Rhinolophus ferrumequinum: one gene and its partner. The protein of the gene in region 1 purifies or fractionates together with the protein of each later gene. This does not show direct contact. Links are inferred from orthologs where the notes say so. Each region holds a gene or a part of one and is shown in the gene's direction. Other genes may lie near its edges. The genes, in order: FBXO22 and KDM4B.

Region 1 (16,107 bases):
AAAGTCTCAGCCAGGAGGGAATAATAATTTTTCACTTTATGTAGCTATTAAAGTAGCCTGAAAATACAGATTAAAAACTGATTAAACTACAAGTAGACACTGACAAATTCACTATTATAGCGGGAGACTTTAATGTGCCCTGGTTGTGGTAAGTTAAGCGGACATGTCAAATACGTAGATTTGAATGACCAATAATTAGATACTGCCATCCTTCCCAAGTAAAAATGGAAAAAAATGTCATCATAAATTAATCCATGCAGCAGGGAAGAATATTAAAAAATGATTGGTACCATACAGATCATGTATTGTAAGTATGAAGCAATTAAGGTTAGAAGACAATGAAAAGGTGAATAAAAATCTACATGGATCTGGAAATTAAACCACTTCTAAATCATGGTTTAGAAAATGTCATATGAAAATTTCAGAATGCTTGGAATTGACCCTCCCCCACTGCCTCCCTCCCTCTTTCTCCCTGCTCTCCAAATGGTTACAGGATAAGCAAGAAAGAGTTTTCACTTAGAATGTGTTTATACATTTTTTATACTTGTGTGAATTTATTGAAAAACATTCTATGACATAATATATGTGTACGCCTCTATAAAGAATGCTTATGATATGTTCTTTGGAAGTTAGGATGTAGGTCAGTTGTCTGGAGGGGACCAAAGAAATCCTAACTGGGCTCCTTAAAAGAGGCTCTAAAAGAGGTCACCAAAAGAGGCCTCCTTTAGTCATGGCTTGGGACCACTTACGGGCATTCTTTAGACTTTTAATTCAAAGTGTCATTTACATGTATAGTCCTCAAAGCTTAACATTTTCTTCTGTGACGGTAATATTCTGTAGTTTGTTCTTTTGGACACAAGTTAAGAGGAAGAGAGTGCGTTCTACTTGGGTCCCAGGAGCCCCCTGTAACTGGATTCATCTGTGGGAGGGACACCGGTCCTGTAAGCCCTGGTATTTGTCCAGTGGTAGGACTATCAGAATGAACCGTGAGGCTTGTAGCTTGTTACTGGAGTACAGTTTTGGTTTTGTTAGCCTTCTAAAATGGTAGAGAATAATGAAATTGAGAAATGAGGGTATTCAGTTAAAATTCTTTTTGAAATGGAAATATAATTGTTTCCTGTGTTCTTTTAAGCACAGTGGTGACACATCCATAAATTTCTTGTCATGATTTTCATCTACTTAGAGTTTTGATTTAAAATGTATAATTCTCTTTCAGAATCAATATAATCTAGCAAGAGCCCAACAATCTTATAATTCCATTGTACAGATACACGAGAAAAATGGTATGTTTAATTCAATATGTATTTATTGCTATTTTTGAAGTTTGACGTAATGTGCTGTTGATATTTATCTTGTTTTATTTTTGTTTTTGCTTTAATTTCTTATAAAGTACAGTTACTACAGTGAAAAAATGTAACTTGAGGCTACACACACTGTGCTTCATGCGAAATGGTGTCGGTAACTGAGTCAGAATCCAGACTTGACTCCATTAAAGAATGGGTCACTTTATTCACTTGAAATATATAGTATCAGGAAAGGAACTGAGTTAAAGGCAACTCTACAAGTGGAGCTCTTATTGTTACGACAGAGTAAATGCAATCAGGACCAGAACCAGCTGTCTCTGAGCCTCTTCGGACTACTTAATGTTTTTCCAATCTTACACATATATCTACTCCGGTAAAAAAGTTCTAATTTCAGTATCCACTTACGAGTATTCATTTGAGTTGCAAATTTTAAAAAATCTTAACACATCTTGCACAAACTTTATTGGCGTTACTTAAATTTTGCTTGTATTCACAATGCACATTTTGAGTGTGTCTAATAGTGAGGTAATAAAACAAGTAGTCTTGGAATTAGAAGACTTATTTTCAGTGCCATTTGTGTCACTCACTAGTTCTGTGGCCCTGAGCAAGTGATTACCTCTCAGCCTCAGTTTACTCATCTGTCATACGACGGCCTGACATCTATCTTGTCAAATTTGTGAGGAAAAAAGGAGTAGTGTGTTCACACTTTGTAACTGAGTGCTGCTGTAAGATATCAGCTGTAGCTGTAACGTGGGAGCGACATTGACTGTTGGTGTGCAGAGCAAATAATAGAAATAGAAAGTCGTTTTCTTTAGGGGAGTATTTACTCGTATAGTAAACTGTTCTTTGCTAGAAATGTGGTGACTTAAGATTTCTGTTTTGTGCTCATTTTTATTTTAATGACCAAACAAACGTCACTTCTTCAGTGATTGCTTGTTTCTGAAGTAGCACAGGCATACCTCAGAGATATTCCAGGTTTGGTTCCAGACCATCACAATAAAGCGAGTATCCCAACACACTGAGTCGTAATTTTTTTGCTGGTGAGGTTCTTGCCTTCACTTTGTAAAAAACACAACATCTCAAGCTCAATAAAATGAGGTGTGCCTGTATTCCAAGCAGTGTTCGAGCTTCTGAAGAGGGAAATGGTAAGACAAGAACAAGGCCGGGTTTTTCTAAACCTGTTTCCCCAAAAATAAGACCTAGTTGGACCACCAGCTCTACTGCATCTTTTGGAGCAAAAATTCGTAAGACCTAATTTTTGCTCCAAAAGACACATTAGAGCTGATGGTCCAGCTGGGTCTTATTTTCGGGGAAACATGGAATCATCATCTCCAGCACCCTAACTGAGTAGACCCGGAACTGCCTGTGTACTTCAGAACCATGTGGCTGCCCCACAAACTATGGGATAGTCACACTGTTCCCATGGCAATGTCATACCAGACAACTTAATCTCATTTGCTTAGAGCTTAGTTTTTTGTAGAATCTGGAAGCAATCGTATTTTTTCTTATTTCTTATTTATTTTTTGAAACAGACATTGTAGTCAGCATTCAGAAATGTTTATGGGAAGTATTGTATTTGAGAAAGTGGGTGTGTGCAAGCTTCGAGTGCTAGGTTTGAGTCACGTCATGGATTCTCTATCTGGTCTCAGGCATCACCTGCTGAGCTGGCCTCCTCACCGGTACAGTGACATCACTGCAGTGATGACAAGCCAAGTTCTACGACTTTGTTTGGGGGAGAGTTATTTCCTGGGAGGTTTACTTTTAAATACAGAATCCAAATGGAATCTAAAACCTAGCTTATAATCTAGTGTTCTGTACTATCACATTAGCTAGACATGCCATTAACATGGAGATCTTATGTTGACAACTCAAGGACAATTTATTCATAGAAAATAACTTTGCACAGTCAGTCCCAACTTCGGGTGGTTTCACTTAGGATTTTCCAACCTTACGATGGTGCAGAAGCGATACTCATGCCATAGAAACCTTATGTGGAATTTGAATTTCAATCTTCCTGGGCAAGCCATATGCGGTGTGGTACTCTGGTGGTGCTGGGCGGTGGCAGCGCTGCTCCTCCCAGCAGGCTGTGATCGTGAGGGTCAACAACGGCACAGGGCAGTGTGCTCCTGCATTAGGGGACTGGGCCCAAGTGTGGGCTGCGGCAGTGTGATGGGGCACGTGACCCCATCATAAGCCGAGGAGCATCTACTGTGAACACATCAAAATGCTTTGTGACCAACCCAGGTGTGAGCTTAATTTTTATACTAGGTTTAAGCATTATGAGTAGAGAAAGTAGCTAACTTAATGAAATGCCATTTCTCCTAGTTGGTTTAAGAATTAAAGTATTTTGCGGGGTCTGGGTGAAAACGGTGAAGGGGTTAAGAAGTACAAATTGGTAGTTATGAAGTAGTCGTGGGGATGTAGAGTACTGCATAGGGAATATGGTCAATAATATTGTAGTAACTATGTGTGCTGCCAGGTGGGTACTAGACCTATCATGGGATCACTGTGTGAGTTATGTAAATGTCTAATCACTGCGTTGTACATCTCAAACTAATATAATATCGAATGTCAACTGTAATTGAAAAATACAAAATTTAAAAAGTTAATACTAAAACAAAAAAAAGTATTTTAACGTGTTTTTTTTTTCCATTCTGTTTCAGGCTGGTACACCCCTCCAAAGGAAGATGGCTAAATGTGTTGACTGTCATATGCTTGGACCAATGTTGCTTTAAAGAAAATCTTTCCAACATGCAGACACAAGCTTTGAGTGCCCCTGTAACAGCAGTACCGAAGACGTTAGCTAATAGATATTTTAGTGGATAATCTGTCAACTGACATCCTGTATAAGTTATAGCCTTTTCATTTTGCTCTTTTTAGATATCCTGGACTGAGCAGTGGGGCCTTTACTGTATTTTTCCTGATAAATATACATACTGGCCACTCCTTATCATCTCTTTTTCTTGAAATCTGTTAGGCAGGCAGGTCAGCATCAGGTGACCAAAGGTGCGACTTGAGGATAACTTTCCCATTCTGAGCTTGTGCGTTACGAGAACTCACAGTATATTGTTCATTTTAGAGCCAATAAAAGTTTAATCGATGTTTAATATTGGTTTAGAAAATGTAAGGTCTTCTGAATCGCGGTAGCTTTTTCAGGTTGAAACCATTTTATGATATTGCCAAAATACTGACAGGACACCTACTCAATAAATTGTTAAACTTTTTCACGCCATGTGAAGATGTGAGCTGTTCCCCGAAGACGTGCTCTTATTTGAGTTGTGTTGTGCTTTTTAGGCAAAGTGAAGCAAGGCTGGGCCGAGCAAGCAGGAAAGGCTTGTGAGTAGTGACTCCACTGGGGCATCAATCGTGCTTGGCTGAATCTGCTGCTTACCAGTTCAGTGTTTCTTTTGAAGAAGAGACTAAGTCATTTCCATTTTATTAACGGGATGTTGCAATTATCTATACCTAATAAACTTACAAAGTGACTGGCACAAAGACAGACTCCTTGAGCAAAAGCTGCACAGTTAAGTATAAAAAGATCCCTAATTGGGGAGACTTTTAAAATGTTTGTTATAGTCACAATAATGGCTTTTACTGAAAGACTAATGGGAACTCTATACACGTTAACTCTTTTATAAAACCTGACTCAGATCAGTGTAGTCTCCATTTTATTGCCTTACCTGAATGAGTCCTGTTTGATTGGTAATAGATTTTTTATATACCCATGTTTGATTTAAAAGTAACTTCTAGTTGTTAAGCACTTTTAAAATGAAATCCAGAAGCACATTTTTCTGCACAAACTAGTTACAAAATTCAAAAGTGTTTCTTATGCATTTGCTTGAAGATTCCAATTTTAACTTTGTAAACCACATGGGAGAGGCTCTGCACTTCTGCATTGTGTGGTTAAGAGGACAGTAGAAAAAGATTTTCTGGCCTTTTCTTGTTCACATCTCTATATAGTTCTGATTGCCAGCTGCTCAGATAACAAGTGACAAGGCAGAATTCTTTAAAGCATTACAGTTCCTTAGACCTAAGGCTAAATCTTGAATCCATTATTGAATTCTTTAATATCCTGATGGCTAGCAGAGTGACATTTGGCATGCTTTGTTTTTTGGATTTTATTTTTCATTGCAGATTTATTTGGCAATGTACAGTAAATTTTGTAAACTTGCATCAAGTTTATGAATAAAGAATCATTTAAAAATTAACTGTCATTTTCCCTCATAAGAAATACTCTTTGCTCCAGGTGTCTGTAGGTTCTATTGAATTTCTGGAATAGGATTGTATATGGTGCGATGGGGTGAGGCAGAGAGGGAGACTGGTTTAACAAGGGAAAGCTAGAGACCCCAAGAATGGTGTGTACAGGTGTGGCATACTCAGGTTTTCCTCAACTTTTTCCCTCCCCTACACTCATTCTTTAATATAAATTCTTCATAGCTGTCCCAAGGTCCCCAGTTAGAATAATCTGCTCCCTCTTTGTGTGCCCATAGCCTCCTCCTAACACACCGTCGTCAGGTTATCCCACCTTCAAGAAGTCTGGAGGTAGGAAGGAATACTCTAGGCACAGAGCATCTGGGCTCTGCCCTGCTTCTCGGAGATTTTTCTGTGTTGATTTCATCTTTGGATTAAATGTTATGTCTGGACCTGCAGTCATGTTTCTCCGTCCAGAGGTAGATAATGGGCCTGTCTTCTAGTGTCTCCTTCTGTGAGGAAATCTTCAGAAGCCCCCACCCCACCCCCTGCACACTCCCCTCACTTTTCCTTGGCTAGAACTGGGGCCTGTGTCTACCCCTAAATTAATGGCTAGTGAAAAGAATGAAACCATCATTAGTTTGGACCAGTGGTTCTCAACATATAATTTGGGGAACCCTGGAGACCCCTGACACCCTATTAGGAGGTTTTTAAGGTCGAAAGTATTTTCCTAATGCTAAAACATTATTTGCAATGTTCATTCTCATTCTCAAGTGTACAGTCGTGTTTTCCAGGAGCTACATGACGTGCTATTGCAGCAGACTGAATTCAGAAGCCGATCCTGCTGCCTCCATTAAGCCAGAAATTAGAGGTTAGCAAAATGTAAAGACATCACTATTCACTGTTGGGAGAGAGAGGGTTAGTTTTTTCCTCCAGAAAAACGTTATTTTGGTAATGTGTAATGGATTTATTACTTTCAGGGGTGTCCAAACTTTTCTCAACGTTTTTTACCAAGGGCCATATGCAGTAAAATACACAAAGAGCCGGGCCACTCACTCTGGGTGAAATACGTATTGCCTCACCTTGTTTATTTAAGTAAACTAAATACATTTTTGGAATTTGCTGTGGGCCAATTAACAATGCTTTAAGTAATATTAAAATGTTTAAAATTTTAATATGGTAAATATTAAGAGACGTAACCCACGGACACAAGCTCTCTGGGGTTGTCAGTGTGGAGTCTTGAGGCTATAATGTCAGACATCATCAAGTCAGGGCTCCGTTAGCGAGGAAGCAGCAGGAGGAACGGAGGTTGGGTTACGGCCGTGTGTGCTCTGCTGACCTCCCTTCCACGCACGGTTGTCAGCCCGAGCTTGCGTGGGAGTCAGGGAGCGTTAACAGTCAGCCTGCTGGGCCGCCCGGATCTCATTCAGCAGGTGCCCAAACGCGGGGACAGGAGGTCACAGTCGGACGTGAGCGCGGCGGCGAGGAGCGCCGATTTCCACATCTTAGGTCGTTTTTTAACTGGGCTCATATTAACAGGCGTTGGGACTGACGACTAAAAACTGTCCCCTAGTCCTGCCTTCAGGAACTCGTGACTTACAGCAGGCGGCGCCGCCGGGGCGGAGCAAGACCCGAGGAGGCGGCTCCGCTGTCACTGCGGGGGGCCGACAAGCTTCCGGGAGGGCTGCGTCCGGGAGGATCTGCGCCGGAAGCCTGGTGCCGGAAGTGGCGCGCGCGCCTGCGCAATGCGCGCCGGTCGGGCGCTCGGGCACTTCTAACCCCTGTGAGCCGCGGTTCTGCTGCGGGGGCCCGCGGGGAGGAATGGAGCTGGCGGGCGGCGGCGGCGACCGCGGCTCCTCCGCAGACCCCCGGAGCGCCTTCGTGCTGAGTAACCTGGCGGAGGTGGTGGAGCGTGTACTCTCCTTCCTGCCCGCCAAGGCGCTGCTGCGAGTGGCCGGGTGAGGAGAGCAGGCGGGGGCGGTGGCTGCCTGGTGGGCCAACGGGCGGGCGGGCGGGCGGAGCCGGCGGGACCCGGGGCTTGCGCCTGCCCGGCGGGTACGTCCCGGTCTGCAGGTACCCCGCCGTGGTGTGTGCGCCCGGGGCTCTTCCCAGAGGATGCGGCTCCAGGTCCCGGAATTTGATCCCGCAAGGTGTGTGGGGTGGGGGGGGGTCTGAGCCGGGAGAGGGACAGACGCTCGCTTAACAGCCCTTTGTGGTCGCGCCCCCAGCGTGAGCCGCCTGTGGCGGGAGAGCGTGCGCAGAGTGCTGCGGGCCCAGCGGAGGGTGGCCTGGATCTCGGCGGGCTCGGCGGACGCCGGCCACCTGCAGGAGCACTGCTTGGTCCGAGTGGCAGCCCAGGAGCTTGAGGCAAGTGGGAAGCGGTGCGGTGCACAGGCCTTTGGGGTTGGTGGGTCAGTCTTTGAGAGCTAAATCTTTTTCTAATCCCAATTTTGCACATGGGTTTATTTTTTTATAATTTAGACAAATGTTTCTCGTGACATTAAAGATTTTGTAAATGTCAGGTTTTATGAGTGTATATTGTAAGGATGTGCGATTGTTTTATTTGACCGTTCTTCAAATGTTCGGCACTTTATGTATCCAGATTTTCACTATTATGATAATGCTATGCAGACTCCGCCCTTCACCTGTTTCCCTTAAAGCAAGTATTGCCAATCAAGTATTGTTGGAGGGAAGGCAGCTGGGTCTTTCGGTCTTAGTGTTGCATAGATAAGCCAAGAATATACACTGGGTATAAACCCAAATATTTCAACCCCAGATTCTGTACTCTTGTGTTGTACCACTGGGCCCCAATTTCAAAAGACGAGCAATACCTGGGCAGGTAAATACTTGAACTGTGTAGTCACAGGAGGCCACCTGTTGAGCACAGCTGATGGTGAGGTTGTGGCATCTCACTTGGTAGTGGGAAGGGGGAGCCATTTGAGAGTACCCTGCTAGCCTGATGCTCTGTCACTCCTGTGTCCTTTCGTATGCATTACGTACAAACAAGAACATTGCAGAACCACAGTACAACCATCAAAGTCAGGAAATCATCATTGATACGTTTCTGCCATCTAATCCTCAGATTCCATTCACATTTTACCAGTTGTCCCCGGGTACTTTTGTCTTTCAAAGCAGGATTGGCTTCGAATTTTATGTTGCTTTTATTGGTCTTGTTTCTACATGCCAATTACTTTGTAGAACATCTGATGTTTCTTAAATTTGGATTATGTGTCTTTGGCAGGAATATCCCAAGCGAAGCTATGCTCTTCACATTGCTTCCTATGAGATGTCATATGATTTCCGTTTGTCCCATCACTGGTGATATTATCTTTGATTATTTGATTAAGGTAGTGTCAGCCAGATGTTGCTACTGTAAAATTACTCTTTCACTCACTGTCCTAAGTATTTGGTGGGGAGATACTTTGGAACTATGTAAATATCCTGTTTCAATTCATTCGTTTATTTATTTACATAGACTTTTAGTCTCTTGTTTTAGCCAATGGAATATCATGTTATTATCAGTATTTATTTGAGTCCCCAAATTGTCCCCAAGTTAGCTAGCAGGAGCCCCTTCAGCTGGTTTTCAGTGTCTTTTGAACGGAGTGTTCAAAGACTCCGTTGTCTTTGAGCACTTCCATGACACAAGATATTCTAAGCTCATCTTGTGGTTTGCGTGCCTCAGTCCTGGAACTAGTCCTTACTCCAAGGAGCCCTGGTTCCTTTCATGGAGGATAATATTTGGAGGCCAAGATCTGGACAAGTCGTTGCTATTGATCAGTTTGTGTCTCCAAGGCCAGTCGGTGGGCAGAGCCACTTGTGTATATATGTAATATACGCAAGCATGTGTGTGTGTCCATCTATCTCTATATGTAGACACATTTATAGCTGTGCATACGTGTATATGCAGAGGGTGCCAAAAAAATGTATACACATTTTAAGAAAGGAAAAACTATTAAAATTGTAATAATATATACCGATAACAAAAGCTGAATGCAAGTCACGTTTGACTTCTGCAAGAAGTACTCAAAGTGGTTACCATCAGCGTAATTTTAATAGTTTTTTCCTTTCCTAAAATGTGTCTACATTTTTTTTGGCACCCTCTATATATACATATACACACATATATACATACACACACGCACACACACAATACACATACACATATGCATACATACACAATATGCATACACATGCATACATGTATACACATACATATACATACATGCACATATACATATATACACACAGGTGTGTATATATACATATATATGGGAATTCATGGGTTCACACAGGTACATACAATTCTAATCCTACACAGGATTCTCTCCGGTTTTCTCTCAGCTCATATTTGTCTTGCCCTTTTGGACAATGAGAAACCTGGCTTTCATCATTCTTAATGTATTTGGTATAAGATGAATATTCTATAAGTAACCAATCTTCTGTTTCCCCCTTCCTTGTGTAGATTTTCTTACTCTGTTTGGGCTCTGAGACTTAGATCCAAAGTGGCCAGTGTCCAAAGACAGACTTGCAGAAAACTTTCTTCTTGGCACTTTGGCCCAAGTCCTGCCAAATCTGTTTCCAGAAGTTTGTCATATGGAAAAATTCAGAATGCAAGCAAAGACTTTTCCTTAAAGATGTTCCTTGGAGCATCATTTATAATAAGGGAAGCTGAAAACAACCTCATGTGTATCTAATAAATGAAGTTATTAAATGATAAACTGCAAGGCACATTATGATGAGAAAATGTTGATGTTATAAGTGAAAAAAGTAGATTATGAAATTATTTGTTTAATCATCTGAATTATTAAAAACAAAAAAGGAAAAATAGAAAACAAAAAAGCCAAAATGTTACCAAAAGTTTGTTTTGGGAGTAGAATTTTTTTAAAAATGTTTTTAATTTTTTTCCTTCAAATTTTTACCACAGCAAGTATTATTTTTATATAGCTTTAAGGGCTTATATCTTGTAATAGCTAGGCAGATTTAGTCATGAACCCAGCTTTGGCACATGAACCACATGAACCCAGTTGTGCGGCTTTGAGAAAGGTACCTAACCTCTCTGAGCTTCAGAAAGTAATAACTCCCTTTATACCCTTATAGAGTTGTTGTAAGGATTAGATCATGGAAACCCAATGTATCTAACACATTCTCTACAGTACTGGGAATACAGTGTTTTCATTCATTGAAATTATTATTCTCTATTACTAACATCATTATTAAAATTAATATAGGAATACCCTTAAAGGAGTTTATACATTGTGGTAAATTCTAGTGTGGTGAGACGGAAACATGGAAACCTTGTCCAAATCATACATGCTGTTTTCTTTGTGTTTGCCAAATTATCTTTGGACATATAGCCATAAAGAAAGTTGATATAACTGTATTAAAAATATTTTAAAGTTCACTCAAAACGTTATAATACATCTTGCCATTTGGAACTTCTCTGAATACTGGAACTAGGTTCTAGTTGTCTTACATTGTGCTTTGAGAACATTTCATGATGAGGATTTTCATTTTCAGTGCTTGTAGTGAGAACGAGGAAGGAAATTTCAGCAATTGCTTTTTAATGGGTACCAGGAAAGAGAATCAGAAAACCTGAGGCCTAGACTTCCAGTGTTTAAGACGAGGAAACCTAAGGCCGAAGCACTTTGAAGGGTTATTCTGCTGGTTTATGGCAGAGTCAGCACTAACACCTGAATCTTTTAAATTGTCTCTCCTTACCCACTATTACACTGGGCGTCATGAACTCAGGTGGCTGCAGAGTGGGGCAGGTAGCTCAGGTGGCTCAGTGTAACACCGCAGGCAGTGGGCGGGCTATGGCAGTCCACAGCGCTTGCCGGTTAGCCCTGCTCAAGGGGAATGCAGTCTAAGTGTTGCCAGCACATCTAGTTTTTCAGATGAATCTGCAAATCCACATTTTACGTAACTTATGGATTTTTAAATGTTGGCAACAAAATGACGTTCTTTGAAAATGCCTTATGGACCAAGGAAACTGTACCCTTAGGTCTTATCCAGCCCTTAGGCTACCGCTGGGTCATCATTTTGTCTCAGTCTCTTTTATGAGTTTGTCTATATGGAATCTCGTCTGAAACATCTTAATGTTCCCCCAAATTACAGTGGATCAGTGTTTTTTCCCCATTTAATCGACATTGAGTCTTTGCTATATGCTAACTGCTTCATCCCCTTCTAATAGTAAACATCTTTGAGAATAACCATCTTAGAAGGAAAAACACATTCACCCTTCTCATTTAATTCAGCCACTTTGTCACCTGTCTGTAATGTCAAGTTTAATGGAAAACCTGATTCTGAATAAGCGCAGCTCATAAGTGGAGATGACTGAAATATAAGGCTGTTGCATATGAGATCCAAGGCGCTGAGGGAGCTGAGGAAAAAGTTGTGTAGCGGAGGTGGCACTTCCGCTGCCTCTTGGGAAAAACATTCTTAAATCAAGAAGAAAGGACGAGAGCTGCAGGAGAATATATGAATAAGGGTATGTGTCCGGGGAATAGTAAGCAGAAGATCCCTCTAGGAATCTAGCTGGTAGGTGGGAACAAAGGCCTGGAATGTTTCATTTGCTAGGCAGTGAAATGAGTGTGCAGTCTGTCTGCCTCCCCTCTGGTGCTGGGCTCTTTCTGTTACCTGCCTGGTCAAATAAAGTTGTGATTTTTGCTGGTATTCATGTTTTTGTTTAAGACCTTAAATTATTATGAAAATGAACTTATTGAGTGAGGCTGGAATGAGTTTCACTTGAAGAAACAAAAGATATTCAGCAAGTGAAAGACCTGAAAATGGAAGAGCCCGAGTGAAGAATGAATGAGAAGTGAATGGGCTTAGCTCAGGCACTGGCCGGAAGGAGGGAGGGCGACAGCAGGTTGGGCCAGGGTGAAACGTGCAGGGGCCACGAAAGCAATCATGGATCCTGCGATCTAATTCAGATGGATTTCTTCTTTGCAGAATGTGCACATCTTACCACAGACAGTTCTTTACATGGCTGATTCGGAAACTTTCATGAGCCTGGAAGAGTGTCGTGGCCACAAGAGAGGTGAATAGCGAAAGAAAACGTTTGGGTTTTTTTTTGTTTACTTGTGTACCTTCTGTTTGGAGTTAAGTGTGTCCTAGTCCTGAGACTGACTTTCCAAAGCCTCGGCCCACCCCTTTGGAACGCATGACTGGATGGTCTTTGAATCTGGAAGTGCAAGTGAAACAAATTCTTTAGAAATGTATTCTTCTCATTTTGAAATACTTGAATCTTCCAGGCACTTCTTTTGATTACTAAAACAGGATGTGTATCTTTGGCTGTTCTAGCCTTTTACTGTGTTGGATGATGGCGACCCATTTACCAAAGTCATGTATAGCTATTGTGCGTTCTCAGCTTGCTGAGGGAAGCAGCAGCCGTGGGGTCCCCAGTGGCCACGCTGAGACCCAGACGCAGACAACGGATTGCCGTTGTCGTCTTTGAATCCAGTGACTGTTTATGCAGAGTCATGTGCTTTATGGTCAGCTGAACTGAAGGTTACAAGAGCAAGTCTAAAATTTAGCTGCTACCACTGTGTGATGACATTGGAGCAAAAGCTGACTGTGAACAAAACGGAAAGGCAGAATGGTGACACTAAAGGTCTGATTTAGAATTTAAATGAAAACGGGCGCAGAACGGGAACGCATTTGTTCTCATCCAAGTTCTTAGACTTCCTTATGAAGCATTCTGGTGTAAAATGACTTAAGCTTGATTCCGTATTTGCCTTTTCTCATCCACACCATCAGATTTGACCTTCAGCAGATGACATTTAATTCTTCTGTTACTCTGTTATTATAGCAAGGAAGAGGACGACCATGGAGACAGCCTTTGCCCTCGAGAAGCTATTCCCGAAACGGTGCCAAGTCCTGGGAGTCGTGACCCCAGGGATCGTAGGTGAGAGGAAATGCCAACTTGGTGACTTCCTGCCAGCATCACTGTGGGATCCTGTTATGGTGAATTACTTGTAGCTTGAACGCACATTTATATTCCTGGCCACAGTGCAGTGAGGTCGGTCATGCTAAGCGTGGTATTAGATTTGACTTCCACTACTGTGGCTTGGATTATTGTGTGTGGCTGATATTCCCGTCTCAGGGCTGTCTGCATAAGCTTTCTGCATAAGGTACTGCCAAGCTTCCCAGGAGCCGTTCGTAAGAGGACAGAGAGCGTGCTCTGCCTCTCTCCAGATCAGCACTAGTGAGTGTTCTCCCTTCATCCCTCAGCCAGCATTGTGTCTGGGGGTCGGGGTGAAGGGCTGTGGTTGGGAGCTGGGGGCAGCCCTGCTAGGAAACTTTTCTCTGCTTGGCTCCCACTGTTCAGGGCTGACAATAAGCAGGGCCCTTCCCACGTTTGCTGCCTTGAACTTTTGCTGGTTTTCCTTATTTATTTCTTTTCTATAGCTAGTGGGGGACGGACGCTGTATTGAGGTGTCACGGTGCGGTGGTTCAGACACTTGGCTTGGAATCCAGCTGTACCACTAAGTACCTGCATGGCTGTGCCAGTCGCCTCGTGTCACGGGGCTTCAGCCTCACCTATGATGTGGGGTGGGGTGGCAGTGCCTTCCTGGGAGGGCTGTGACAAGGTCACACATGGCAGCCCTCAGAGCAGATGCAGTAGGTGACTGTTTGCAGTGCTCCTCCATGACTGACATTCTTAACACTCAGGTGGCACTTTTGATCAGGTGTTAAGAGTCTTGTACAGTGAAGTAGAGGAGACTGGGTATTTCACATGAGCAAACGTAAATGTGTGTTTGTGGGACTGTCCCCTCCCGCGGCAGCTCCTGACCTGCTTCCATTTTGTGGGCTTAAAACAGTGAGAGCAGTGACCAGGCTTTCTGTTTAACCTCTGAATTTTCCCTTAAATGAGTGATCTCATTTCTACTATTGCTACGTACTTCCTAACAAATGTTTCTGGGGAATCATAGCTTTCCTTCCTCGTAATATTTTCTCACCCCTCCCCACTGTACCCACCGTGGCTTCCTCAAGGCATGACCAAGTTTCTCCTTTTAAAATTTGAGCAGGGGCAGGAGAGGGTGACCTGGGTGACATTCCTGGCTTCGGGGCCCCACTGTGCGGGAAGTCTCCCTGAAGCCTTCCTTTGGTGCTTGCCTTGTACAGAGGGTGCCAAAAACATGTACACTCATTTTAAGAAAGGAAAGCTGTGTTCAAATTGTAATACTCAATATATACCGATAACAAAAGATGGATACAAGTCACGTTTGACTTCTGCAATTACAAGAGGCGCTCAAAGTGGTTCCCATCAGCGTCCAGACACTTCTGATGACGGCGAACGACTGCTTGAGCAATGTTGACCAGAGTGTCCACTTGTAGACATTTTTTTGGCATCCCCCAGTGTCTAAACAGTTCTGACTGCGCATCTGTTTTCCCCAAGTTCTCTTGTGAGCTTGATTTTGGTAGTATCTTCCAACTCCCTTTGGTCTGGACTTGTCCTCCTGTGTTTTCTTGGACCCACTCCTCACCCTTCTTTGAGACAGTTCCACACAGGTCTCAACAAAACTTCCCCCAAGACAGTTGATCAGACTCCATTTTCTTAGGCCACAGTTTAGTGACTGTTTGTAAAACAGCCATTGGCAGCTACTGCCCGTCTTCCTTCTTTAGGCTGGAATAATGTCAAGTTTGAGAAAATTTGTTTATTCTTACATATGCAGAGGTAATTTTCTTAATTGAGGTAAATTACAGTGAAATGCACCATCTTAATTGTACAGTTTAATGAGTTTTGACAAATGTACACCTTCATAACCAGCGCACCAGTGAAGATGTAGGTCTGTCACCCCCAGGAGTTTTCCTTGCGGTTCCTATCCGTCCCCACTTGCCATAGGAATCCCTGCTTCTGACTTCTGGGGCCATAGCCTAGTTCTGCCTGTTGAATGTCATATAAGTGGGATCATATGGTATCAACTCTTTATGTCTTGGCTCATTCAATATAAATTTTGTTTTAAAGAACGTTCATGTTTTTGAGATTCACTTATGTTATTGTGTGTATGAAGAATTCATTTTTTCAAGAATAGTATTCTGTTAGATAACTAGACTATGACTTGTTTTTCCGTTCTCTTTTGATGGAAAGTTGGGTTGTTTCAAGCTCCTGGCTATTACAGATGAGCTGTTACAAATGAAGCTGTTGTGAATGCTGAAGGCTTGTGGACATAGGTTCATTCTTTTTGGGCATTGCTGGGTCTGAGGGTTGCTGTGTATTTAACTTTATAAGAAACTGCCAGTTTTCCACAGTTGTACCATTTCATACTCACAGCAATGAATGAGGCTTCCACTTGCTCCATATCCTGAAACTTAGTGGCATGAGTCTTTAACGTCAGCCATTCTAGGGGGTGTGAAGAGGCTTCTTGTGGAATTTTTACTTTGAATTGTTCTTCTGACTAGTTATGGTGAGCACCTGTTCACTTGTGTGTTGGCTATTTTATATCTGCCTGTGTGAAGGATCCAAGTCTTTCACCGACTTTTTTTTATTGGACTGTCTGTCTTATTACTGAGTTGCAGGGTTGTTTGTTTCTGGATTTCATTCTGTTTGTTGATTTATTCGTCTATCCTTAAGCCATTGCCATATTACTGTAGGTCTAAATGTTCTTCG
Region 2 (16,574 bases), on another chromosome or scaffold:
TATTAGGAACGTGTTACGTTAGCTGGTATATTTGTAAATTAATAAACCAATGGCACAGTCCTACTAACTGAAGTCCATGCTACATTCACATTTCCTCTGTTTCTCTGAATGTCCTTTCTCTGCCCCAGGACCTGATCCAGGAGCCCACATGACATTTAATTGTCACATCTTAGGCTTCCCTGGGCTGTGACAGTTTCTCAGACTTCCCTTGTTTTTGGTGACTGACAATTTCCAGGAGGACTGGTCAGGGATTTTGTAGAAGGTCCCTAAATTGGGTTATGTTTGGTCTGTTTCTCAGGTTAGATGGGGGTGATGGGTTTTGGGAGGGAGACCCTGAGGTGAGGGTCCCTCCTCATCCCATCACATCCAGGATCGTGCTGCCACATGACCTACCACTGTTGACGTTGACCTTGAACCCCTGGCTGAGTGTGTGGCCAGGTTTCTCCACTGTAGAGTCCATTTCCCCTTTCAGAAGGGGGTCACTGTGCAGCCCGCACGTGGGGGGCCTCTGATCCCTCAGCCTGGGCTGCCTGATGGCCAGTGGGTGTGTGGCTGGGTCTGAGGCCAGGCCTCTGCGTCCCAGAGCCTGCAGGGTGGCTGCTGGCCAGCCAGGGGATCCTTCAGCCCCAGAAGAAGTCGTAGAGGTGGGCTAGCCTGGAACTTCGCCCTTTGTAGACATGGGTCGCGGTGGACAGGCCTCACCCTGGCTTGTGGCCTGAGAACTGGGCCTTGACCTCGGCCCCAGAGCTTCCAGCCTCCGGGCTTGGGCGTTCGTGCTTTTGGCCCTCCAAGCATGAGGGCAGAAGGACCCATGGTCTTGGTGGCCCAGCAGCCAGGGGCAGCAGCAGGTTGGGGTCTGTCCAGTTGAGAACCACAGGCCCTGGTGGTTGCTCTGCCTTTCAGACGATGTGCTGGTGGGGGCGGCCCGTGTCCAACGGGAGACGTGTGCTAGAGACAGTTCCAGGTGCCGAGGGAGACGTGATCGCATCGAGATAAGGCCGAGAGAGGGGACTGGCAGCACAGCAGCCAGGCTTGTGTGCTCAGCACACGTGAAACGGTGCCTCGCCTCCTCTCTCACCAGGAAAACGCACATTGAAGCTACAGCGTTAGTCTCCCTTTGCTGCCCGAACAGGTGACTACAGACTTAGTGACTTAAGCAACACACCTGTATTACCTGACAGTTGTGGAGGCCGGAAGTCTGGCATGGTCTCGTGGAGGCTAAGATCAGGGCTGGTTCCTTCTGGAGGCTCCCGGGCAGAGGCCATTGTCTGTCATTTCCAGCTTCTAGAGCATCCTGCGTCCTTGCCTTTTGGCCCCTTCCTCCATCTTCACAGCACTTCATTCTGACCTCTGCTTCTGTCATCACGTCGCCTCCGACTCTGACCCTCCCACCTCCCCCTTATAAGGACCCTTGTGATGACAGAGCCCACCTGCTAATCCAGGATAATCTTCCCATCTCAAAATCCTTCACTTAATCCCATCTGCAAAGTCCCTTTTGCCCTAGAAGTGAGCGTAGCCACAGGTGCTGGGGTTCGGACACGGTCACCCTGGGCGGCCACTCTTCTGCCAGCCACGCCGTAATCAGATCCTCCGACTTGAGCTCAGGCTGATGTCAGGTGCTGGCAGGGCTGTGGGGCAGGGCAGCCTTCAGCCGCGCAGGTGGGAGAGGCCGAGGAGGCCTGGGAAGAGCCCGCAATGGTCCCCGAGTCTGGAGTCCCGGGGAAGCTGCGTGCAACCTGAGGTCACGAATTCCACAGCTTGGTGTGGCCTTTCACCCGGGGGTTGTGACCTGTTCAAAGACAGCGAAATCAATTTAATGGGTCATGCCTGGTACTTTTAAAAACCAGATTAAAATAAGATTAAAAATGTCATGTACATTGCCCGTTGTGAGGGTGTTTATGAAATCTGTTCTATTTAAAACTTGGTGAATTAGAGAAGATGTGTGGGATTGAGTTCAGCAAAGCTGGGGCCTGAGGGGTGAGCTGCCCTGCCCAGGGCATCGGGCCCACTGGGGACTCTCAGATCACGGACAACACAAGCAAAGGCCCAAAAGCAGGGAGCACCTGGTAGACCCTGTGCCATCGGGGTTCACGTGTCACAGGAGCTGTGGGGAGATGTGGGCGGGAGAGCTGGTGAGTCAGGGTGGCTATAGCCTCGATTGTCAGAGGTCCTGGGGCCACACGCAGGTGTTGTCCTGCATCCATTGAGCAAGTTCTGGAGTGTCCCTGCCCAGCTGTAAATCCGCGGTTGGGACCCTGCCCTCGCGGGGTCTGCACAGCCCCTGCCGGCTCTCCTTGTGCCCTCTGCCTTTTTGGGGTGCAGAAGTCACTGTGTGGCATTCATTGTCCATGCAACTTTCCTTTTTCAGGGGGCACACTCCCCAGCTGTGGGGTTCACAGGAGGCAGAACTTGTAAACCTCACAGAATTTACCTGGACCTTAAGGTTTCCAGACGCTTCTTTGGTTCAGTTTGTTCGCGGAGCTCTCGCTTCCTCAGGGACTGATTTTTCGGAGCTGTGCTTAAAACGGGCAGTGCTTGGAAGACTGAATGGGGAAAGTGCTTCTAGTTATGGATTTTTGTGTCCCATGAAGTGGCAAGGATTTGGAAGTGTTTGAATAAAGGCAAGTGTCCCTGGGCTACGTGCTGCTGTATGTAGGAGTATAATGTGGAATTGAGATTTAAGCATGTGATCCATTTAGTTAATCATGCTTTTGCTTGTGCAATTTAGGAACCATCACCGTTGCCAGAACCTGACAGAAACCTGAGTCACTTATTGGAGCATCTGTCATCACAGCCTCAGCCATCCAGGACATACCAGGAACTTCCAAGTAAGTGTAAGACCAAGGCACGGAAGGACGCAGCTTCTTGCCAGGGCAGCTGTCAGTCCTGCACGCTGTGGGGAGAAGGCGGCCCCATTTGGTTCTGAGTTCCTGGGGTGTCCAGGGTCTGCTCACCCTTAGACAGAGGAGCCTGGAGCCCTCTGGGGGTGACTTTTCTGGATGTGTCTTCTCTATCCCACATACTCCACGTTTGCACGCTCACCCGTCAGCATTTGAACGCCTGCCCCTCACTTCTAGAAGCCCTGTGTCGCCCAGGACAGGCTGCCCAGTCTGGGACCTATGGATCAGGCAGGATGCCACTGCTGGGCTCCCTGAGGGCCGTAGTCACCCCAGCCCGTGGCCTGCAGGAGATGGTTACTAGTCACAGCTGGGCGTGGGGTGGGGGGTGTTTTAAAAAATAGAAGATTTTTTTAAAATGCATTTAAGAGCATTCCATTGCCCAGCTACTTCTGGGTTTAAACTCCAGGCTGTTTACCTTCTCCTGTACTTTTCTAATAAACCAGGAACAGAGGACAGGGGTTAAAGTGGTAGGTAGCCTCTGATGGTGGCCCAAGGTGGTCATTGGTAAGAAGAGAGGGAACCAGCGAGTCACCTCCCGGCTCCCGCACACAGGGCAAGCGTGATGGGGTAGAGAACACACAGCCCCATGTGTTCCGTGCCGTCCCAAGGTGGCTGCCCCGGTGGCCTGAGAACGGCTGGCTCATGTTCAGGGTTGCCCTCGGACGAAGGCTTCATGACTAATTAGGGCCAGGTGTCGACTAATATGTGGCCTTTTCATGTGAATCAAAAACCCCAAACTGCTTTTTAGAAATATTCTCCCTTAATCGCGTCTCTTGGCTGCTGTAGCGTGACCATCAACGTGGTGACTTCAAACGACCCACATTTATTCTCGGACAGTTCTGGGGGTCAGAAGTCTGGAGTGAGTGTTTCGGGCTAAGGTCAAGGTGTTGAGAGGGCCACTCCTTCTGGGGACGTTAGGGAGACTCGATCTCCTTGATATTTTCCAGCTCCAAGGGGCTGCCTGCTTTCCTTGGCTTAGGGCTTTTTCCGCAAACCACTCCAGCTGCTGCCTCTGCCACTCTGTTGTCTCGTCTCCTTTTCTGACTCTGACCCTCTTGCCTCCCGTCATAAGGACCCTATCACGACATTGGGCGCCCAGGTAATCCAGGGTCATCCTCATGATGAGCTCCTTGACTTCATCCCATTTGCAAAGTCCCTTTTGCCATGGAAGGGAGCATAGCCCCAATCCTAGGATTGGGCCATGGACATCTTGGTGGGGGGTGTGGGGGAGGCATTATTCTGCCGATCATAGTCTCGTCCAAACTGCCAAACGGTTTCCGTAACCGCTGCACCGTCTTACGTCCCCACCTGCAGAGTCTCAGGGCTCCGATTTCTCCACCTCCTCGGCAACACTTGGTATTGTCTGTCTGTCTTATTCTAGCCAGGGGTGTGGGGTGGTGCGTGGTCTCTCACTGTGGTTTTGATTTGCATTTCCTTGCTGGCTCACTGTAACCCCTTTTCACGGGCTTATTGACCTTTTGTGTACAAGGTCAGACAATTAAGTTCGCGAACTTGCCACCTTGCGCTCACATTGGCAACACTGTACAAACATCTCTGTCAGGTTTCATAACCTTGGTGTATCAGTGTGTCACAGCTGTGTTCGTGTGGACGTGTGGCGGCGTCTTGCTGAGTGGTGCTCATTATTGTTTTTGTGTGCCATCGCGAGAATGTCTGAGCTTGAATTAGATGAATTAGAGCAACGAACAAACATTAAATATCTTGTTAACTTGGCAAGAGTGGAAGTGAAATCAGGGACATGTTAGTCCAAGTTTATGGGGATAAGGCCATGAAGAAAACGGCAGTGCACAAATGGATTAAACGTTTTTCTGAGGGGAGAGAACGTGTCACTGATGAAGAGAGGTCAGGGTGGCCAGTAACAAGCAGAACTGACAAAAACATTGCAAAAATTTGTTGAATTGTGCGTCACAATCGTCGGCTGACTGTGAGAAGCATAGCAGACCAAGTAAACATCGATAGAGAAACAATTTGAAAAATCTTAACTGAAAATCTTGGCATGAGAAAGGTGTGTGCAAAAATGGTCCTGAAGGAGCTGAACGGTGAACAAAAGCAGAGTCGAAGTTTGCCAAGACCTTTTGGGCCATGTTATCACTGGTGACGAAACACGGGTGTACCAATACAACCGCGAAACAAAGCGTCAAAGTACACAATGGAAGTCAGCCAATTCTCCACGACCAAAAAGTTTCGTTCAGTCCAAATCAAGAGTCAGAACAATGTTGCTAACCTTTTTTGATATCAGAGGGATTATTCTCTATGAATTTGTACCAACTGGACAAACAGTTAACCAAGTTCACTATTTGGAAGTGCTGAAAAGGCTGCGTGAAAAAATTAGATGAAAACGACCTGAATTTTTCTCCAGTAATTCATGGCTCTTGCATCACGACAAGGCACCAGCTCACACAGCAATGTCTGTGAGGGAGCTTTTAGCCAGTAAACAAATAACTGTATTGGAACACCCTCCCTACTATTTGGCCCCCAGTGACTTCTTTCTTTACCTGAAGATAAAGGAAATATTGAAAGGAAGACAGTTGGATGACATTCAGGACATCAAGGGTAATATGACTACAGTTCTGATGGCCATTCCAGAAAAAGAGTTCCAAAATTGCTTTGAAGGGTGGAGTAGGTGCTGGCGTCGGTGCATAGCTTCCCAAGGGAAGTCCTTCGAAGGTGACCGTAGTGATATTCAGCAGTGAGGCATGTAGCACTTTTTCTAGGATGAGTTCGCAAACTTAATTGCCAGACCTCGTAGTCCCTTTGGAGAAATGTCTATTCAGGTCCTTTTCTCACTTTTTAACTGGGCTGTCTCTGTATTATTGAGTTGTTAGAGCCCCACTTTTTCAGCATGGTACTGTTTTGTAAAGAACACGTCGTTCTTTCTGGACTGTTCTGTGAGTTCCCTTATCGGGGGCTCTCACTCGGTCCTGTCCCTCCCCCCATGTGTCCAGTAAACCAGAAGTTTGGCCCAGGGCTGGCGTTCAGTCAGATTCCTTTTTTATTTCTTAAATATGTATATGTGTGATTTTTATTTGCCCTCCTTCAGAAATGTGTCAGGGGTTATGGAGTGTTGGGATTATAAACCAGTTTAATTTTCTTCCTTCTATTTACCTACTGCAAGGCTTCATTTCAAAAGGCACGAATAAGAGAGAGAAAGAAAAGCGTACACGACCCACCATGGAGCGGACAGTAGATGACAGGTTGGAGTTTGGCTTTCGTTGCCAGCATGCATATGCAGAATGCTCTACCTGCTGTCTCACCATCTACTTTCCCCACCTCCTAGATGGAAAACTCGTCTCTGTGTCGTGATTTTTGACACATGAAAGAGCTCGTGTGGGCAGGCCCCCCGGCTGCCCCAGCTCTGCCTGGGACAGGCTGGTCTCAGGGAAGAAGAGATGGGCGTACCCCATCGCCTCCCACCGGCGGAGCTGGGTGTTTGCATGGACTGAGGGGAGGCAGCCTCTGTGAGACGCCGTGGCCCCCTGCCCTGTAGGCCCCTCGTGAGCCAGCCTGGGAGGAGCGGCCGCCAGCTGGCCAGGGCCGAGTCACACCTGAGAGCTGTTGGGTGTGGATGGGTCCTGGCACCTGTCACTCAGCAGGGTGGGAGAGGGTGCGCGAGCCGTGGGAGACTCAGGCTGTCTCGGCAGAGCCTGGCTGGTCATCTGGCCCTGCCACGTACCTGCCGTGTGGCCTGGGTATGTGACTTCCCCTGTGGGGCCTCGTATCCTCCTCCGTGAACAATGACAAATGGACTTACTGTGTGGAGTGGATGAATTGCTAACGTGAAATGCACAGAACAGGGCTGGGGGCCTGTGCAGTGCTTGTGTGTCCACCGCTGCTGGATCCGGGTGTGGGTCGTGACAGACTGAGGAACCTGTCTGTGGATTTGTGCCTGGCCGCCAAGGCTTGGGACCAGGGGCTGAGCCTGGGGCAGTCATGTTCAGGCAGCTGGCCTCAGAGGACAGGTGTGATGGTCTGTGTGGTATGCGTGGGCGGCAGAGACCCTGAGCATCCCCAGTAGGTGGGGAAAATCTTGGGGGGTGACGAGGTGGGCATAGGCAGGAGTGGGGGGCTAGGGTGCTGGGAGCACGAGGAGCGCTCTTACCTGTTCACGCTTGTGTCTCCTCTGATGTCCCGGCCAGGGAGCCACTCCCTCCTCTGCCTGCCCTCCTGCGGTCCCCTCCACGCCATTAGCCAGCTCATGTCCACACCGATATTCACAGTCGTACAGGCGTCAGGGTCTGTCCCCTTAAGACAGACGGACACACTGTCGTGTCAGCCCCTGTGCAGTGGAGCTGGGAGCCCCGCATGGCTGTGTCTGGGCAGGAGGGAGAGCGCAAGGTGGGCTGGGAAGAGGGGAGAGGTCCCAGGTGTGGATCCAGGTCCCAGGCTATGGCTAGGACGGTGTGGTGGTCCGTGCTAAGGGTGGCTCAGGGCTCCAACGGGGGCAGCCTCCAGGAGGCTGCCGAGGCTCGGGCCCTGTGGTGCCTGCTGCTCCCGAGGGGCTGTGACAACCCCTTTTCTTACAAACCGTGTTTTCTTGGTGGATCCCTGTGAGCCGGCCCACAGTGTCACAGGCACTGGTGGCCTGCCATGTGCACCTCAGCTTTGTAGTTGCCCCTTGAGAAGCCTCAAGACTCCCTGTGGATACAGGGAAGAGGGTCCTGGTAGGTCCCAGCCTGGGTGTAGCAGTGGCCTGTGTGTGTGTCAGGATCCTCTGTGGCCCTCCAGCTGTGAGTGTGACCCTTTGTGGCGGGGTGGGGGGGACTTTAGCTGCTGTCCCCCTACCCCAGCCCCCTATGCCCCAGGCATGGGCCAGGATGCCTGCGGGCCTGGGGCCTCTAGATCCTTCCCACAGAGGTGACCATCTCAGCCGCGATTCTTGGGCTCATGCTGCCCTCTAGTGCCCGCCGCAGGGCCTGCCTTTTGGGAGCCAGTGGCTGCATGTTGGTGAATGGACCCCCCCCCCCCCTTCTGGGGCCAGTGAGCTTCCGAGCTTCCTCATTCCCTAGCTGACTTTGGGGTGCGAGGAGGTGGACTTGGTTACATTGTCTTCCAAGCTCTCGGGTCTGTGTGCACTCGGGTTCTGACCTTTTCTAAATCCTGGAGGAAGTCTGGGTTTGGGGGACCCTTCCCAGAGACCGTCACCAAGCCTCTTCCTGCTTGGGCTGGGCCACTGACCCCCACTGGGTCCCCTTAACTCTGGGGACAGGAGGGGGGTCTCTTCAACCTACAGCCTCCTTCCCAAGAATCCTCTTCGGGTGCCAGCAGTGAATTTTTGGGATGTACAGACCCAGCCCTACTCCCCCCTTCTGTGCTGAGATATCCAGGCGTGGTTGTAACCAGGACGCCTTGGAGCATCTCTGATTGAAGGAGAGGAGCCGTTCTGGCCAGGTTCCAGGCTCCCGCCCTCATTGGGCCTGGGTTTGCTGACAGTAGCCAGGCCAATCCTGGAGCGACCCATGTGCTGCTTAGAGTGGGCACTGCCCAGAGTCAGGGTCCCCTGCTCGCAGGTTCAAATCTTGAAAGATGACAGACTGACACACAATCTCACTCACCTATAACTCGCCATGCGCTGCTGTCTGGCCGGACGGACGTCCAGCTCTGAAGGACACGCATTGGTTTGAGTCCCCGATAAGAAAAGCTTTTATTTCTGAGGCCCCGACTTTAAAATCAGTGCTCTGGCCTCCAGGATCGCGCTGGCTTTTAGAACTAGGACACCTCTGGTTTTAATTAGTTGAAGCCATTTTGGTCTTTTGTGCCAGAGCAGAGTGAGGAAGTCGGCTCCCAGTTCCTTCTCCGCAGCGCGTGGCTCCCGGGAGCTGGGGGTATTTCAGCACGTTCTGAGGGAGAAGGGCACCGTGCTCATGCTCTTTGTGTTCCCTTGCAGGTGTGGCGACGTCTCAGCTGCAGCCATGGGGTCTGAGGATCACGGGGCCCAGAACCCAAGTTGTAAAATCATGACATTTCGCCCAACCATGGAAGAGTTTAAGGATTTCAACAAATACGTGGCCTACATCGAGTCCCAGGGAGCCCACCGGGCAGGCCTGGCCAAGGTGGGTGACGTGCTGGGCCCCGCGCAGCGTGTCTGGGCGTGTCCGTGACCGTTAAGTGCTCACGCAGCGCCTCCGCCCTCGTGTGTCTGTAGACAGGACACGGTTCTTTCCCTGTGCCAGGTGCTGTCCTGGGCACTGGAATTCACCAGTGACTCGCACGGCCCTTGTCCCCGTGGGAGCTGGCAAGCTGGGGCGGGAACACAGCTGTGCTAGGACACGCGCAGTGGGCAGTGGCCACCCAGGACCTCACGGTGCCAAGTCTCACCCCGCCTGGGGGAGAAAGGGGTCGAGAGTCTGGGGAGGCTTCTGGGGCATTTGATGCCGGGAAGGGCTTAGTTTTTGCATTTATATTCCCAGTGAAATCGATATTTGTTTGAGACAGTAACGCATGTGGGAGGCAAGTCCAAACAGTGTGACTGGGCGAGAGTGACAAGTGAGTCTCCTCCGCTCCCTCCATCCCTGTCTCCCAGCTCCTGTCCCCAGAAGCAACACGGATGCCATCATCTTCTGTCTCCTTCCTTGGTGTGTCACGCACATACGTGTACATACATGTGGATGTGTGCGTGCAGACAAACACACAAGCTCGCCGGGTTGCTTTTTAATGTAAATGGCTGTGATTCTTCATGTTCACGTGAACCTGTGTGTGTGGCATTACTCGCCCCAAAATTGGGAAGATTTGTAATCTGTTTGTTTGGGGCTCTTCTAGTTGCTTCCTAATGACTGTCACTAATCTGAGATTCCTAGTTGTCTATCCTTTAAATCTGGAGGTTGCGAAATCTTTTGTACAAAGAGCCAGATACTATTTTCAGCTTTGCCGGCTGGACATTCTGTGTCACCAGCGCTTAGCTCTGCCGCCTTAGACCCTTAAACCAACGGATGCAGCTGTGCGCCAATAAAACTTTATTTATGGGCCCTGAAACGTGCATTTCACAGAACTTTCACTTGTCCCAAAATACTCTGAAAATTTTTCCTCAGCCATTAAAAATGAAAACAAAACAAACCAACCTTAGCTTGAAGGCTGTACAGAGTCAGGCGGCGGGTGGGATTTAAGCCGTGGGCTGCAGCTTGCTGCCCGGCCCCTCCACCCCCCACCCCCCACCCCGCCCGTTTTGGGTTGGTTTTGTTGCTAGTATCAGTTCCTGTCCCCGTTACATTCTTGCCTTCAGTCTCAGCCTTGGGAGATAAGGAAAGCAGTATGCTGGCGGCATCGTTTTTCCTCCCCTTTTCCTCTTGATTTTTGTTCGCTGTACACATGATAATATAGACAAAGCAGAACATTTTTATCTAGTTTGGGAACCATGGCCACCACTGTCGTTTTAGCTTCAGTTCTCCCCTTAAATAGCTTTAGTGCTCACTGCCCGTGTCTCCCTTGGCTGGTTTGTCATCTCATATGAGAAGGGCTCTGGAAACCCTGCGCCTGGGGTTCTAGCAGGTTCGGAAGCATCTGAGGCTTTTCTGCTCCGCTGACCCGTTGATTGGCTGGTGTCATTGTCAGGTGACCCTTCCCTATCTCTGCGTCCACTGCAGGTCAGCAGTGGTAGGGAGATTCTGCGATCCTCAGAATCCTGGTGCCCGTGGGAGTGGGGCATGCTTTCTCCCGCTTTGTCTCCTGTCATTGACCTAGTTCCACTTTACCCGGGACTCAGCCGGCCCATCAGCTTTTGGATTCATGTCATCCTCTATGCCGGAAACTTGTAGTAAATGAATATCTCGGGCTATTTTGTCGCAAGCACCTTTAAATTCCACCCCATCGCTTCTCTGCCGTCCTTTCAACCTCGCCATTTCTATCACCCCCTTGTCTGTGTGATCCGTGCCTTTACTTTCACTCTCCCTCTTCCTTCTTCGTTTCCTTCGCTGTCTCGACAGTTCTTCTCTGAACCCTGATGTCCCTGTTTTAGGTTTTTAATTCAGGTGGACTAATTTTTTGCTAATTTATCTGGATCGAGGGGAAACGTTTGGACTGGAGGCAGCCGTTTTTTTTGTGAGGCAAATATTTTCAGGGCAGATTTTCCCTCTGCCTTTAGTTTTGCATAAAGGCAAAACTTGTTCCTTTTCTCTTTTAAGTGGTGGTTTATTTGCTGCTTTCATTCTGACTGATAGTGGCCTTTGGATGCGCAGATTCTTTCTGAAACCCGCTGGGGGGGGGCACGGGGTACTGTGTGCTTGAGGGGCGGGGGCACAGTGCGGTTGCTGACAGATCCTGGTGGTTAGCGTCACGCCGACACACACGGGCACACACTCCCCTTCTCCCATCTCTCAAGGACCGTATGTGGTGCCTCTGGTCCCTCAGTGGCCTCCCTGCCACTCTGTGGGGACAGATGGCCCAGGGAAGCAGGTGCTGTGGCCCTGGGCACCTCCCACGTCTTTTACACAGGGGCACTTGGCCCTTAGGCCTGCCAGTCTCTTTTGGAGAAAGGACACGGTGTCCTGCTGGCCTGAGCCAGCTTTGCATACACAGGTGTGTCCCTGACCCTGGCCTCCTCAGCCTTGACTACCCTTCTCTGTGTGTGTGTGTGTGCATGTGTGTGCGTGTGTGTGTGCGCGCGCGTGTGTGTGTGTGCATGTGCCGTGGTAGGAGCTTCCTCTTTCATAAACGCTGTCTTTGGTCCCCTCTGAAAAGCTGCGGGGCCCGGTGGAGCTGGGAGGGATGTGTGCTCAGCGTGCACAGGCGGAGCCAGGGCTGCCGCTGGAAGCAGCTCTGGGTGTGCCCACTCTGGAGCCATCAGGCGGCCCGTCGTCATCCTTGGCTGCTCTGTGCATGCTCTGGGGGCTGTGCCCAGTGGGTCCCGGCCCCCTGCAGACCAGGGCTGGGAACCTGCTCATGCTGCTTGGGAAGCGCTGGGGCATGAGGAGCCAGGGAGGGGCATGGAGTGGGGTGTGGGGTGATGGGGCAGTGTGGGGTCCTGTGGGAGGGGTCAGGGTGCTTTGGTGCTTGAGTGCATCCCTGAGGACAGTCCTGCAGCCTGCTCTCAGCTGCCAGACCTGCCCCCTGCAAAAGGGCTTTGGAAGCAGGCAGTTTGGGGGGCCAAAAGCTTGCCCCTCACTCCTGCCCTCTTGCAGGGTCCCCCACACCTTCTGCCCCAGCTGCCCAGACTCCCTGGCTTTGCCACATGACTCACACCCAGACCACCTGCCTGGTGTCTCCTTATTCACCTGGGGTATGTGGCCTTTCTGTTCCTTTTGACCTTGGCTGAACTTGCGTTCCAGCTTTGAGCAGGGGTCAGTCGCAGGCTGTACAGGGCCCTTGAGGCACCAAGTGGAGACAGTCAGTGTGCTCCAAGGTCTTAAGTGATGACCTTCAGATGTCCTTTGTGTGGACAGCCTCCATTCAGATCTGATTTCCCAGAGCTGTGAGGGTGGTAGGCTACAATATGTGGCTAAGGGATTTTTCCAGAAGCTTTGGGTTCCAGACCAGCTGGAAGTAGCCCTTCTTTCATGAAACGTTTCAGAACCTGAGTAGCATGTGTCCAGGAAAGTGTGGTTCACACGTGCAGACCAGGTATCGTGACGGTCCCTCCCTGGTTGTCAGATGTATTCACACAGCAGTGTGTTAGAGACAGCATAAATCAACAAAGTAACCTCAGGCTCTCATTGGAGGGGCATGTGATTTGGGAGTGACACGTTTTGTTCATTTGACCCGGACTGGGATTAAGGATGGACTTCCTCTAACAGAACTGAAGTGGGTTCCCCTTGGTGAACCCCGCTGGCTGGGTCTGGAGCCCATTCAGGGTGACGGCCCTTTCCTTCAGGAACAAAGTCAGGTTTTCTGTAAAGAGTGGGCATTGCACACGTAATTAAAAAGCAGCTTCAACACGAAAGAACATCTTGGGTCCTGGAGGCACAGCCCCTTTCAGTTTTGTTTTTTCCATTTCTAGCCTTGAATGTTTTAGTTTATCACTCGACTCTTCAGATTTCTCTCTTGAAATCTGACCTCAGCACCCTGTTGTCACGTGGCCTTGTATCAGACACAGGCACCCCAGACACCTATTGCATCGTGGCCGCAGCTGACACAGGGGAGCGATGTCCCCAGAACGAGCCTCCACTGAACAGTCGTGTCCTCTAGGAGGTGGCTTGTCCCAATGTGACTCCAATTTATGGTCCCAGCCTTGGCAGTGGTAACATCCAAGCAAGGTCACTCTCTGGGGGGGGCCATCCTGGGTACTGTGAGGGGTTGAGCAGCCTCCCCACCCACTCGATGCCAGGAGCACTCCCAGTCGTGACAACCACAGATGTCCCCAGATATTGCCTCGTGTCTCCTGTGGGGGCAGGATCACCCTGGGTGAGACCCACTGACTTCCTCTTACTGCTCTTGTTATTTATTTGTATTTTGTAAATATACGGCTGTGTGCTGACAAGGTAGGCAACACCTGTCTGTTGTTAACAGGCAACTGGAGAAGTGTTTTTGTTGCCAAGCAAAACATTTTCTTCCACCGATGAGATAGACGCCCTAATGGAATCCTTGGGGATGGTAAATGGATTTCAGCCCTTCTGGAAGCTGTCGGCAAACTTGGGCATCAGCGCGGTGTTCTTCCCTCATTGGCCCCAAGCAGAGTGAGGGTTCGGCCTTCCCAGAGTTCATGGCTGATGCTCTGAAAACAGGTCGGGTTAGTTCCTTTCCCTAAAGCTGTTGGGTGGCCTGTAAAGCGTCCTGGAAGGAGACTTGAGGCTCGCGCTCTCTCCCCCAGGACTGGGAGAGATTGGCCCCAGTCGGCCCCGGAGGCCTGCGCAGAAGTGGGCCCAGTGCCCAAGAGGACTGCGGCCCAGCCCCGTGGGACAGGGACGGGCTGGGACTGGGTTCCTGAGTCCACGCAAGCCCAGCACAGTGGCCGCTCAGGTTGTGCCCAGACCCTCTGCCCCTAACACCAAGCCATTCCTGTTGGCCCTTAGTGTCCCCTTGTGGAGAAGAAGGGCAGGGAAGGGAGGGGAGGGGCAGGAGAGCTGTCACCTCTTGGGAGGGTCCAGTCCTGGGGGCTGCCTGCTGGATCTGCTGCAGTGAAATTGCTGTCCTTGTCTCAGAGGTGACCTCAGGCTCCTCCACTCGGAGTCGTCACTTCCCCTCTGCTCCTGCCCAGGCATCGCACTCAGCCCTTCTTAATTTATATTCCTAGTCCTTACAACTGGTTACCTTGCCCCACTTTCCTTATCTCTTACCGCTACGTATGACCTGCCCTCTGCCATCCAAATGTAAAGCCTTCCATGTCTCCCCAGCAGGAGAGCTGTGATGATCACCCTGGATGTGTCCGTGAAGTGGGTTCCTAGAGTGTTGGGCCTGCAGTGCTCATTTTCAAAGCTAGAGGGCGCGGTGGCCCCGTGCTCTGGTGACAAAGCGAGCACGTTTGGTTTTAAAAGAATTGTAAATGCAGCATGGGAGGCGGCCACAGCTCTGCCCTGGCAGGTGGTGCCCATGTTGCTGGCACCAGATCTGCTGGGGGTTTTCTAAAGGTACAGGTGGTTCCTGGTGCCCCTGTGGGGCAAGCCCGGTGTGCTCCCCAGGGAGTGGCACTGGTCTCCAGAGGGGGAGCATGTCTGCCTGCTCGCCAGACCTTTCTGGAGGCATCACTGACTCTCCTCTCGCCGCGCAGATCATTCCTCCGAAGGAGTGGAAGCCACGGCAGACGTACGACGACATCGACGACGTGGTGATCCCCGCGCCCATCCAGCAGGTGGTGACAGGCCAGTCGGGCCTGTTCACGCAGTACAACATCCAGAAGAAGGCCATGACGGTCGGGGAGTACCGCCGCCTGGCCAACAGCGAGAAGTATGTGGGTGTAGGGCGGGCCCCCCAAAACCACCTAGGGTGGAGCCACACCTTGAAGTCCTCAGCACCCCTGAAGTGGGACCCTCGGTGGCCCCATCTGTGAAGTCCAGGCCACCAGGGGCCCTGGGGTGCAGAGATGGTGGGTACCATGCAGCCCCCAACAAAGTGCACATGGCTTGTTCTGGGTTCACTGGGTGGGTCTTGGCCCCTTCGTGCTCAGAGTCCCCCAGTTCAAAGAGGGCAAAATCCAGACCCTCACCCAGCCCAGGGCCACGCTGTCCATATCTCGCTACCCTCAAGGGTAGCTGAGGGCTGCCCCTGGGGGCTCGCTGTGTCCCCCACACCCTCCCATGATGTCTCAGTTCCAATGGTGCCTCCAAACAGAGGGGCTCTTTGGTACATCTCCCCACATGCCTCTTCCTGGTTCAACACGGCTCACACACGGGCACACTCGTGCACACGCCCATGTGCTCACAGGTGCACTCGAGGTGCATTCACAGGCGCTCGTGTACACACGGTGCAGTCATGGGCACATACCACTGTTCTCTCCTCCCTGTTCTTAGTTATTCCCGGCCTTCTGCCCTCTCTGAAGTCGTTTGTGCATTCCCGGCAGTCCATGTGCTCTCAAACATGTGTCCTATGTGGGCAGGGCGTTGTGTGCCCATTCTCGTGCTATCCCCAGTGCCCAGGGCAGTGCCTGGCCTGTCATCAGTGCTCTGGTGTTTGCCGAGCGGTGGGATGCAGAGAACCGTCAGAGCTCACACCTCTCCACCTGCTCCAGCTACCCCTGCTGTGCGTTGTGACTTGGGTGCCCCGGACCCAGCGAACTGAGGAGATGGCATGAGTGGGCATCGTTCCAGGCAGGGCTGCCCGCCCGTCCAGTACACACTCACCCCCTGGAAGAAATGCTCTCAGCAGCATTTGGACCATGTCCGTGTTCTTGGGGGCTGCGCCCTGCAGTGGGACAGCGGCTGGTCTGAGCAGAGCCCCTCCCTTGGCGTATCCAGCAGGCGCCTGCGGCCTGGCTGAGCTGGGAGCATCAGGCACAGGCTCTGACCCCAAGGCCCACTTCCTGTGTGCTGTTTTCTCACAGGTACTGCACTCCGCGACACCAGGACTTCGACGACCTGGAACGCAAGTACTGGAAGAACCTCACCTTCGTTTCTCCCATCTACGGGGCTGACATCAGCGGCTCCTTGTACGATGACGTGAGTACACAGGGCCAACAAGTTCTGGGGAAAACAGGGACTCAGCTTCCTGGTAAATGGCAGAGGAAGGAGTGTGAATGGGACTGTGTCTTGAAAACGGAAATTGAAATGACACAGAAGCTTAGCTGGGCTTTCTGTTCGGGCTCCAGTTATAACTATGTGCAAGTCTTAGAATGAGTGAAAAAGGGACCTGACTTACAAAATCTTTCCTCCTGAGTGGTGGAGCCCTGCTGGCCCTGATCTGCCACCCTCAGAAACCTGGAGCCTCAAGTTCTCAGCTGGCCAGGCTGGCACTGGGTTCACCCACGTCTAGACCCTGTGCTGGTCCGGGGGCCTGAGGACACCTGGGCAATGGAGGGCCCTGGCCTGGCCTTGGCCTGTCCGAGGGTGTGGACCAGATGCTGGTGGTGGTGACACGGGCCCGGGACATGCTGGTGTGAAGCAGAGGGAGGTTTGAGTGGGACCCATGTTTGTTAGGGGACAGTTTATTAATATTTACGGGACCTCAAATAGCCCTGGATGGATCTCCTGGGATGAATTTCAGAGTTACTGAGCCTAGCTCTCTTCTGGGGATGTGCTGTACAGGGTACCCTGGGCTAAAATCCAGCTCTCTCCACTTCCCCGGGTGGCCCCTTGTGTC

The links.
Region 2: the proteins of FBXO22 (region 1) and KDM4B purify together in Homo sapiens (affinity purification with western blotting; 3 studies listed by BioGRID, with this or other methods). This does not show direct contact. The link is inferred for Rhinolophus ferrumequinum from reciprocal best matches to the Homo sapiens genes FBXO22 and KDM4B.

The regions. Positions count from the first base shown.
Region 1 is NC_046311.1:436,275-452,381, reverse strand, and holds the start of FBXO22 (F-box only protein 22), read left to right. Parts: upstream 1-7,234; 5' UTR 7,235-7,316; coding exon 7,317-7,453; intron 7,454-7,723; coding exon 7,724-7,862; intron 7,863-12,446; coding exon 12,447-12,534; intron 12,535-13,305; coding exon 13,306-13,401; intron 13,402-16,107. Other genes in the region: UBE2Q2 (ubiquitin-conjugating enzyme E2 Q2), read left to right, coding at 1,217-1,283, 3,968-3,999. UniProt on the Homo sapiens protein: Substrate-recognition component of the SCF (SKP1-CUL1-F-box protein)-type E3 ubiquitin ligase complex that is implicated in the control of various cellular processes such as cell cycle control, transcriptional regulation, DNA damage repair, and apoptosis.
Region 2 is NC_046301.1:58,881,367-58,897,940, reverse strand, and holds the start of KDM4B (lysine-specific demethylase 4B), read left to right. Parts: upstream 1-8,827; coding exon 8,828-8,968; intron 8,969-14,550; coding exon 14,551-14,726; intron 14,727-15,819; coding exon 15,820-15,934; intron 15,935-16,574. UniProt on the Homo sapiens protein: Histone demethylase that specifically demethylates 'Lys-9' of histone H3, thereby playing a role in histone code. Does not demethylate histone H3 'Lys-4', H3 'Lys-27', H3 'Lys-36' nor H4 'Lys-20'.